2 linked regions of the Cricetulus griseus genome follow. The protein of the gene in region 2 binds, or shares a complex with, the protein of the main gene of each other region. Links are inferred from orthologs where the notes say so. Each region holds a gene or a part of one and is shown on either strand. Other genes may lie near its edges.

Region 1 (4,607 bases), on a different chromosome or scaffold from region 2:
GCTGTTGTTCAGTTTGGGGAAGGAAATAGTACTTAGCAGGTTTGGGAAGGGAAAGTCCCCTCATTTCCCCCAATCTCTAAGGCTAAGAGCACTCACCGTAAAAGAGTCTCTGGGGTTCCTCTGTGACCCCACAAGGCAGCATAACACCCTGGCTTGGGGAGGCTGGGCTGAGGGTCTGGGTGGCCTTGTCTTCCTGGCTTATGGGCCGGAGCCCAGGACCACAGCAGTGAGTGAGAGGAAAGAGCTGAAGCCGACTGAGGGGACAATCCAGCTGGCTCTGGGCAAACAGGTCAGCAGAGAGCAAGCTCCCAGGTTGTGTCCCTGGCTCCCCATCCTCTGGCTGGAACACATCATCTTCCAGCTCCTCCACACACTGAGGTGGCTCCATCTCTCCTGTCAGAAAACAATGGAGGCATCTGGGATGCTTGTCCTACTGAGGCCAGACGAAGAATTCCCTCCCTCCTTCCTTTCCCATTCTTCTTATTTGTGGGAACCAAGCCAGCTTCTGATGATACACAACTCTGGTAATTAAACACTGCCAAGGATGACATTCACCCATAAAGTATGGACCACCCCAATGGTCAGGTTCCTCCATACCTCCTCCCTGCACCCACCAGAGCCACCTTTCCCCATACTCTCTAGCCTAGGCTGGTCACAAAGCTTGGGCACTGAGGTATGTAAGCAAGGGTTAAGATCAGGTGCTATCACAGGGTACCTGGGAAAAGATAAGCAAGACTAACCACACACACACACACACACACACACACACACTGAGGAGGGACCTCCAAGCTTTCCCCTAAGTCTGAGCTGAACTCCAGGCTCAGCAGCAAAAACAAAAGCCAGAAATTGTAGAGCAGCCAGGTTCCCTCCTAACCTGCTAAGCCCTGCCCTACTGCACATCTCCACCCCCCTCCTTGCACAACACAACAAACAGGCTCTGTGGTGTGGTGAGTGTCCTGGAACAGGGGACCTAAGTTAGTCACTCCAGCTGCCTGGCTCAGCTCTCTTCCACTGGAACAGAGCTGTCTGCCCAGCACAGGTTAATTTTGAAGGCTGAATCAGCCTCTAGCAAAGTGTCCTGCTAATTCTACCCACTAATCTCCATGACTTCAAATTTTCATCCACGAAGCCTCCCACTCTTGCCAGAGCTGAACCTGAGATAGGTGCAACGTGCCTCATAGAAGGAAGTGAAATTCAGCCCTCTTGCTGTGCTCTCTCTCACTGCCTACACCGCGGGGGCTGTTTCTTAGTGTTAAGTTCCTCTCGCTCCACCTGACGGCTCATGAAATTCTGCACTTGGAGTCACCCAGCAGCTTGAGCTTCCAAGCATGCCCCGGGGGCAACCAGAATCATAGGCAAGCGCCTGAATGGTCAAGGCAATGCAAAAACAAATTTGGTAATCTTCAGACTCTTCTGACCCACTAGGGTCTTGCCTTTGAAAGACAAGCCAAGTGGTTTGTGGGTTCTTAAAGAAGCCTTTTAAAAGAAAAGCTTTGTCTTTAAAGAAATCTTAGTTAAGTTCGGAGACCTTCCCTCCCCAAATGTGAGCTCTGAGTTTCTTGCCTCATCCGGCACTCCACCTCATCACATCCCTGAGCTATCTGTGGCCTCGTCTCTGCTTTCTTCCCTGGAGATTGATGCCATACATGCCTGCTAGGATGGCAAAGCACATATCTTTGGATATTGTTCCAATTGGTAAGGGGGAACTCCAGCTTATCAGCAACAGAAAAATCAAGTTCCCAGATAAAAGGACCAAGAGCTGTCACCAAGCAGTTCTCCTGTCCTTCATCCCCTTCTCTGCAGGCTGGTAATCCCAACCAAAGTAGGGACCTCCAGAGCCAATCACAAGTAGGAGTCATTGTCTTGGTGTTTCTTTTGATGCCTATCACTCCCCTCCCCCTCCCAGCAAAGCCCCAAAGTTCAACCCTTGCCTAGACTGGACAGTGGGGGAGGTGCAGCCAGAGGGTGTGACTCTGAAAACGCCGAGACCCCCTCCCACTCTGCACACGAACTGCAGGTGGCTCTCCGGTTGGTGTGAGCCTCCGCCTCCAAGAGGTTCTGGGCAAAGACAAACGTAAAATGGGGAAAAGTAGAGACCTTCAGCTTCCCTGAGCTAAAGTGGTAATGTCCAGACTGGTAAGAAGAGGGCACTTCCTGAGAGCACAGCAGAGAACGCTTTATTCCTAGCAAAGGGATTAAAGTCCGCTGGAGCCATCCCAGAGCCTCAGAGCTCCAACTGGGATGCTCAATTAAAACTCCTCCTCTTCTTGGGAGATGGCACTAGCTAGACACCTTGAAGATCGATAGTGGCTAAGATCTCAAAACACACGCGCGCACACACGAGCGCAGACACACCTGGGTGACTCCAGGACAGAGTCTCAGCCTCCGAGTCGTGATGCCAGGGCTCTGCGCCAGGGTCCAGGGTGATGAGCACTCGGGGGGCTTGGCGCCCACACTCGATTGGGAAGGAGGGGGCAAACTCCAGCTGTTAAGAAGAGGACCCTTCAGAGTTCGCAGGGAGGCAAAATGCACCACAACTCACGGCCCCACCCCAGAGTCAGACCCGGAGGCCAGAACGTTCCGAGCGCTTGGCAGTGCACCCCAGGGTCACTTGCCCACCTACTCTCAACTCCAAGTTCCAAATGTTTCCCTAAAGCCCCGCTTGGAACAGCACGCCCAAATTTGTGCTTTGCACCCCGCTCCCACATCCCGGCACCCCAATTCTTCATGGTCACCCCAGATGTCCGCAATCCAAACCCTTCCCGGGCCCCCACGCGCCGCGCGACTCCGCTCCCCACTTCCCGGAGGAGGCACGATCCAACTCCGCCTGGCCCCCGGCCGCCCGGGCGCTCACCGGGCTGCGGCAGGAGGCGGTGGCGCGAGCTGGGGCAGTGGCTGCTGCGGGCGCGAGCTGGCGCGGGAGGAGGCCACGGCGCACCTCGCGGTATTGTTTCCAAAATACGCCCGCTCCGGGCATCCCGCAAACAGCTGATGAGGCCCCGCCCCTCTCGCGTCACTCCAACCATTGACCAATGACAAGTGGAGCTCCAAGTCTCAGGCTGGGTAGCTGCCAGGGACGGTCACTAATGTACAAACCTTCCCTTGGAAACACTATAAGGGGCCGAGCGCATTTCTGACCTTCGCCAGAAGCGTAATTGGAGCGCTGTGTCGGGTGAGGATTCGGTTCCTAAGGCAGGCCCCAGAAGCGCCAGGGAGTCCCTGGGTTCTCCACTAGGTGGGAGGACAGGGCTCCGAAGTGACTTTTGTCTACTTGGAAATGGACTGAATTATTGCGGAGTTTCCAGAAAGCCGGCTCAGAAGGAGGCTGGGAGCTTTCAGCGGCTTGCAACTTGTAGAGGGAAAAAGCTGTTGTCGGTCCCTAGTGAAGGGGGGAGGGCGCCGCCCTCTCGCCTGCTTGGGTGGGTCCGAGGAAAGCTGGAGGAAAACACGTGCATCTGTAACCAAATGACATTTGGATCCAGCAAGTGCAATGAGAGGCCCAGGTCCTCTCTTCTGGACTGGGCAAGAACATGTGCGAAAAAAAGATTCTGGCAGAGGCGAGATCAAGAGGGGCAGCTTGGGCAGCCGACACAACCTGTTGATGGTCGCATCAGAAGACTTCATTGGCCGCTGGGAAAGCAACAAGCATCTCACGTACTATGGTCGACCCAAGGATGACTGCACATTTCTTGAACACCTACTGTGTGCCAGGCACAGGACTAAGTGCCAGACTTCTGGTGCCTGACCTCAGTGAACTTCTACCCCGTTATTTTCGAATAACGGAAAGCAACATGAATGGTGTTCCGTGTAGGGATAATTATGGGTGCAGGAAAATTCAGAATGCAGAGATTTTGAGTCGAGCTTAGAAAAATGAGGAATTTTTCATTAAGTAAAATCCAAATAAAACAGCCCAAGCCCAGAGAAGGCAGGAAGCTAGAATAAAGTACTCTGCTGGAAAGCTTGTCCAAGGAAGCAGGGGCACACCTCTCCAGCAAGCTATCTGGCATCCTCACCATGACTTAGATGTGTAAGTGTGGGCAGGCGGGTTCGGGTCAGACTGCAGAGGTGCGACTGGAAAACCAGGCTGAGGAATCTGTATTTTATAGAGGGCTGGCAGCAAAGGTTTTACAGAAGATGAATTGGGGGGGGGGTGAGGGGAAGACAGGGGAGCACGGAGGAAGGAGGGAGCAGAAGTCAGTGAAAAGAACCAATTCCTGCCACAGCCTACTAGAGCTGTGATAGAGGCAGGCTTGTTTTTTGAGGTAGTGCCTTGTGTGTAGCAGGCTGACTTCACACTCTGTATATAGCCAAAGGTGACCTCCTGATCTTCCTGCCTCGGTCTTCCAAAAGCTGGGATTGCAGGCATGCACCACCATGCCAGGCTTCTTATGCTTTTACTATCTATTATTTCCTTTGTTTCCTCAAAATTCATCTGAAAGAAGTGAAGAATGAAGCAGGCATACAGAGGGCTGTGGTCCATGATTGCTCATGTAAGAAAGTCCTAATCCCAGGCCACAGAGAAGAGGGGAAAGACAGATAAGAGAGTCAAGGTTGACCAGTAGCCCAATCCTACTAGGAGCTGATAGATGTTCAACAAGAGATGCTGT
Region 2 (3,811 bases):
CTTTTAATCCCAGCACTCAGGAGGCAGAGGCAGGTGGATCTCTTTGAGTTCAAGGCCAGCCTGGTCTACAGAGCAAGTGCCAGGACAGGCTTCAAAGCCACAGAGAAACCCTGCCTCTAAAAACCAAAAAAAAATTCAAATCCAAACCCAAATAAAGTATCATTTATTCGATGTACAAATAAAGATGTCACATACACAAAATCATTCTCTTTTTAAAAAGAGTTTAGATTTAATTCGTATTTCAATCACCAAATTCCAAGTCTACATGCTAATCACCTTAGTTTTAGTTCCTAACATCCAGAACATTAATGTTATTTTCCTAATTAACTGATAAAGCATGGGAAAAAGAACACAGATGACTTAGGAAACTGTAAAGCTATCAGTTGTTCAACAAATATTGTCTTATACCGACTTCAAGGTACAGTTCTAGGCAAATTGACTAGCCACAGCCAGAAAGCTATAGATCTAACACCTTCCACTTGCTAGCTTTTAAGGGTAAAGAGCATAACAACTCAATATAGGCATGCTAAGATTTCAAAGTACTTCAGGATCAAAGAAAAATGTTTGTATAAAGGAAAAGCAGTAGGATAATGAAGCTCATTACAGTTTTCCATTACTTTTATAATTTTAATTTTAGCTTGAGTATTAAAAAAGGATATGCATATATAAGTATGTGTGTGCATAAATTATGTTCAAAAGACTTACCCCTTGTGCATGAAGATACTCAACAGTTTTAGTTATAGTAAACAGGACAGCACTGGCCTCTCGCTCTGAGAAAAACTTCTGTCTAAGAATTTTATCCAGCAATTCGCCTCCTTTCATAAGTTCTGTTACTACATACACATATTTTCCATCATCATACACCTATACAATTTAAATAAAAACATAAAAAATGATTTGAAGCTTTATGTATGTCTCTAAATTACTACTTAAACATACTAAAGATTAAGTGAATATATTAAAAGATACAAAAATTGCATGTTCAAGAAAAATTTACTTGTGAAAAACCAATACAGGATTTCTGGAGATTGTGTTAGAGTCATTTATAGTGAGTAGTTTCACATTTAATGAGACTTAGACAACATCATTTATCTAAGAGAAATCATTCTGAGAAAATAAGAGTTTTGACAATATCTAGACAGCCTCTGAGCCTATGTGAGCACCAACAATCGAGAAACCTGACTACTTGAGACAGGGATATTTTTGTCAAAATTCAGTTATAATAAAAACCACAGGAGATAGAGGTACCAGGGCATCCCAGGTAAAAGATACCTCACTTATCCTGGGAGTGGTAATGGACAGGAAAGGCTTCCTGGAAGGAAGCAGCCTGTAGCAGAGTCTTAGTTGTTGCAGTCAACCAGGTAAAAAAGGGAAATGATATTCCCACCGAAAGGTCGACACATTCAAAGAGCACTTGGAGAAAATGAAATACGCATGTTTTAAAAAGTCTACATCCCAAATAAAGCATGGCCAGAACACAGGATGTAGGGGAAGCTGTAGCCATGCCTACTTAGGGGCTGGCTACAGGTGTGCCTGACCATGCTTGTGAGGGCGTGGTCAGGGTGATGTAGAGTGAGACTTTCAGGGGACTGCATTTCTCTTTCAGCTTCACTTTTGTACTTGCTGGACAGACCGCTGCCATGCCGGCTGGCTAGGTCGCTCTGTAAGTAAGGCTTTTCCCTATTAAATACCCTTATATTTCCACTTGGTTCTGTATTGGTAATTTCCCACTATAACAGGATGTGTAAAAAACTATGAAAACTGCTACAGAGGAAGGCAGGTGGGAGGATAGCATAGGGAGCCTTCAGAGACACTCACAAATCTTGAATATTAATATTTATATGTTCAAATTCACATACTATAAGTAATAATGTTAAAATAGTTTTTAAAGAAAAAGCAGAAAATTAGATATTCTTAAAGTTTTATTAATTTTTAAGATTTATTTATATTTTTAATTGCATGTGTATGCATCTGTGTGCACATGTGTGTGTGTGCACATATGAATGTGAGTGTTAGTGCCTATGGAGGCTAGAATCATCATATCCCATGGAGCTGGAATCACGTACGGGTGGTTGGTTGTAAGCCACCTGATGGGTGCTGGGAATCAGACTTAGGTCCTGTGGGAAAGCAACAAGTACTCTTAACCACTGAGCTGTCCCTCTAATATTTTTCTCCAATCTATTTTTTTATATTTACTTTAAGTTAATATATAAAGTAATGGGTTACATTATGAGATTTTCATAAATGCTGTTTTTTTTTAAACTCAATCCTCCTCCTCCAGTATATTCCCTTCTCTGTCCTGCTGGCCCTTTCCTTCCTACTACAAGTCATATCCCCATCCTAAACAACATTCATCAACTCCCAAGGTCATCTTTCTGATTTCATGACCTATAATCCCCACTTTTGTATACCCCCCCCACACACACTAAAAAAAATCTAGGATCTTCATATGAGAAGGACTATGCAGTATTCATCATTCATAGCTCAAGATAATAATTTCTACTTTCATCCATTCGAATTTACTTTCTAAATTGACTATTCTGAAGTGGTCTTTCTCTACCACATAATATTTGAAAAATATCCTAAATATGAGTTTGACAACTGCTTCAAGTGATCTTTGTTAAAGAATCTACTTACATCCTTTAGAGTAATGATGTTTGGATGCTGTCCATAACGAAGAAGAATTTCAATCTCTTCTGTTGGGTCTCTCTTGCTTTTATCAATAATCTAAAATGCAGATATTTATCATAAATATTTTTGAACATGAACCATAAATGTTTAGTTATAGACCTTAGGTATCATCACATGTAAACACTGTACACACAAGCCATTTACCAATCAGTTGTTGTTAAGTACTTACCCAGATTATTTCATTGGAAAGGTAGTCTCCACATAGATGGCTATATAAGGCTAAGCATGTGACACATTCCTACTAGGTCACTTCAAGGTAAGTTTGTAGTAAATTTGGGAATTATTAAAATTCAAAAGCCTCAAGAAAAGTCATCAAGAACAAAGTTACCACATCATTTTTTTCATCCTTGAATTTCTCAAACATTTGAGAATTCAACTTCTAATCACCTATCAATACAGAAAACTAAGAGATAGATGTGTCTCCAATACCACCATTAGCATCTGCTTATTGCACAGAATTTCTTTCTTTTTTCAAGAAATGGTTTCTCTGTGTAGCCCTGGCTGTCCTGAAACTATCTCTGTAGACCAGGTTGGCCTCAAACTCAAGAGAACCACCTGCCTCTGTCTCCTAAGTGCTAGGATTAAAGGCGTGTGCTACCACCATCCAGCTAACTTTACTTCTTTTAATTATCTTAATGGACTATCACATTAGCTGTAAGCTACTTACAAAAATTAAGTAAACAAGCTTATTTCTGAATCTAAGCAGAAAATCTCCGTATAAAACCACCCTAGAATATTAGTTGACTACATTTACTATATAAAGCTCTTTAAAATGTTACCATAGATTTTAACTCTTTTATGTCAGTTGCTTATATTTTTTCTTAATTTTTTAGTATATTGAAGTACTATACAAACATATTTTTAAAATTTAATGTGTATAGGTGTTGTGCCTACATGTGTATATCTATCTGTGTACCACATACATGTCTGGTGACCACTGAGGCCAGAAAGGGTGTTGGAGTCTCCAGAATTGGAGTTACAGATGATTGTGAACTCCCACATGGGTTCCAGGACTCAAACTGGGTCTGCTGGAAGAGTATTAAGTGCTGCCTTTTAAAAAATAATTTTATTTTATATGTGTGTACATGCATGTGCAGGAGCCCTCAGAGATCAAAAGTGG

Evidence for each region.
Region 1: the proteins of Rps6ka3 (region 2) and Bmf are in contact, whole or in part, in a crystal structure (PDB 8R58), measured with the Homo sapiens proteins. The link is inferred for Cricetulus griseus from reciprocal best matches to the Homo sapiens genes RPS6KA3 and BMF. Residues at the interface, in NP_004577.1 of Homo sapiens: Trp252, Phe259, Phe268, Leu281, Ala283, Lys284, Leu285, Gly286, Met287, Pro288, Leu299, Arg300, Phe303, Lys304, Arg305, Asn306, Asn309; in NP_001003940.1 of Homo sapiens: Glu8, Leu10, Glu11, Asp12, Asp13, Val14, Phe15, Gln16, Pro17.

Annotation. Positions count from the first base shown.
Region 1 is NC_048599.1:59,933,182-59,937,788, reverse strand, and holds the start of Bmf (bcl-2-modifying factor), read right to left. Parts: upstream 2,978-4,607; coding exon 2,855-2,977; intron 2,486-2,854; coding exon 2,356-2,485; intron 394-2,355; coding exon 97-393; intron 1-96. UniProt on the Homo sapiens protein: May play a role in apoptosis. Isoform 1 seems to be the main initiator.
Region 2 is NC_048604.1:94,271,895-94,275,705, reverse strand, and holds part of Rps6ka3 (ribosomal protein S6 kinase alpha-3), read right to left. Parts: intron 2,728-3,811; coding exon 2,638-2,727; intron 865-2,637; coding exon 706-864; intron 1-705. UniProt on the Homo sapiens protein: Serine/threonine-protein kinase that acts downstream of ERK (MAPK1/ERK2 and MAPK3/ERK1) signaling and mediates mitogenic and stress-induced activation of the transcription factors CREB1, ETV1/ER81 and NR4A1/NUR77, regulates translation through RPS6 and EIF4B phosphorylation, and mediates cellular proliferation, survival, and differentiation by modulating mTOR signaling and repressing pro-apoptotic function of BAD and DAPK1.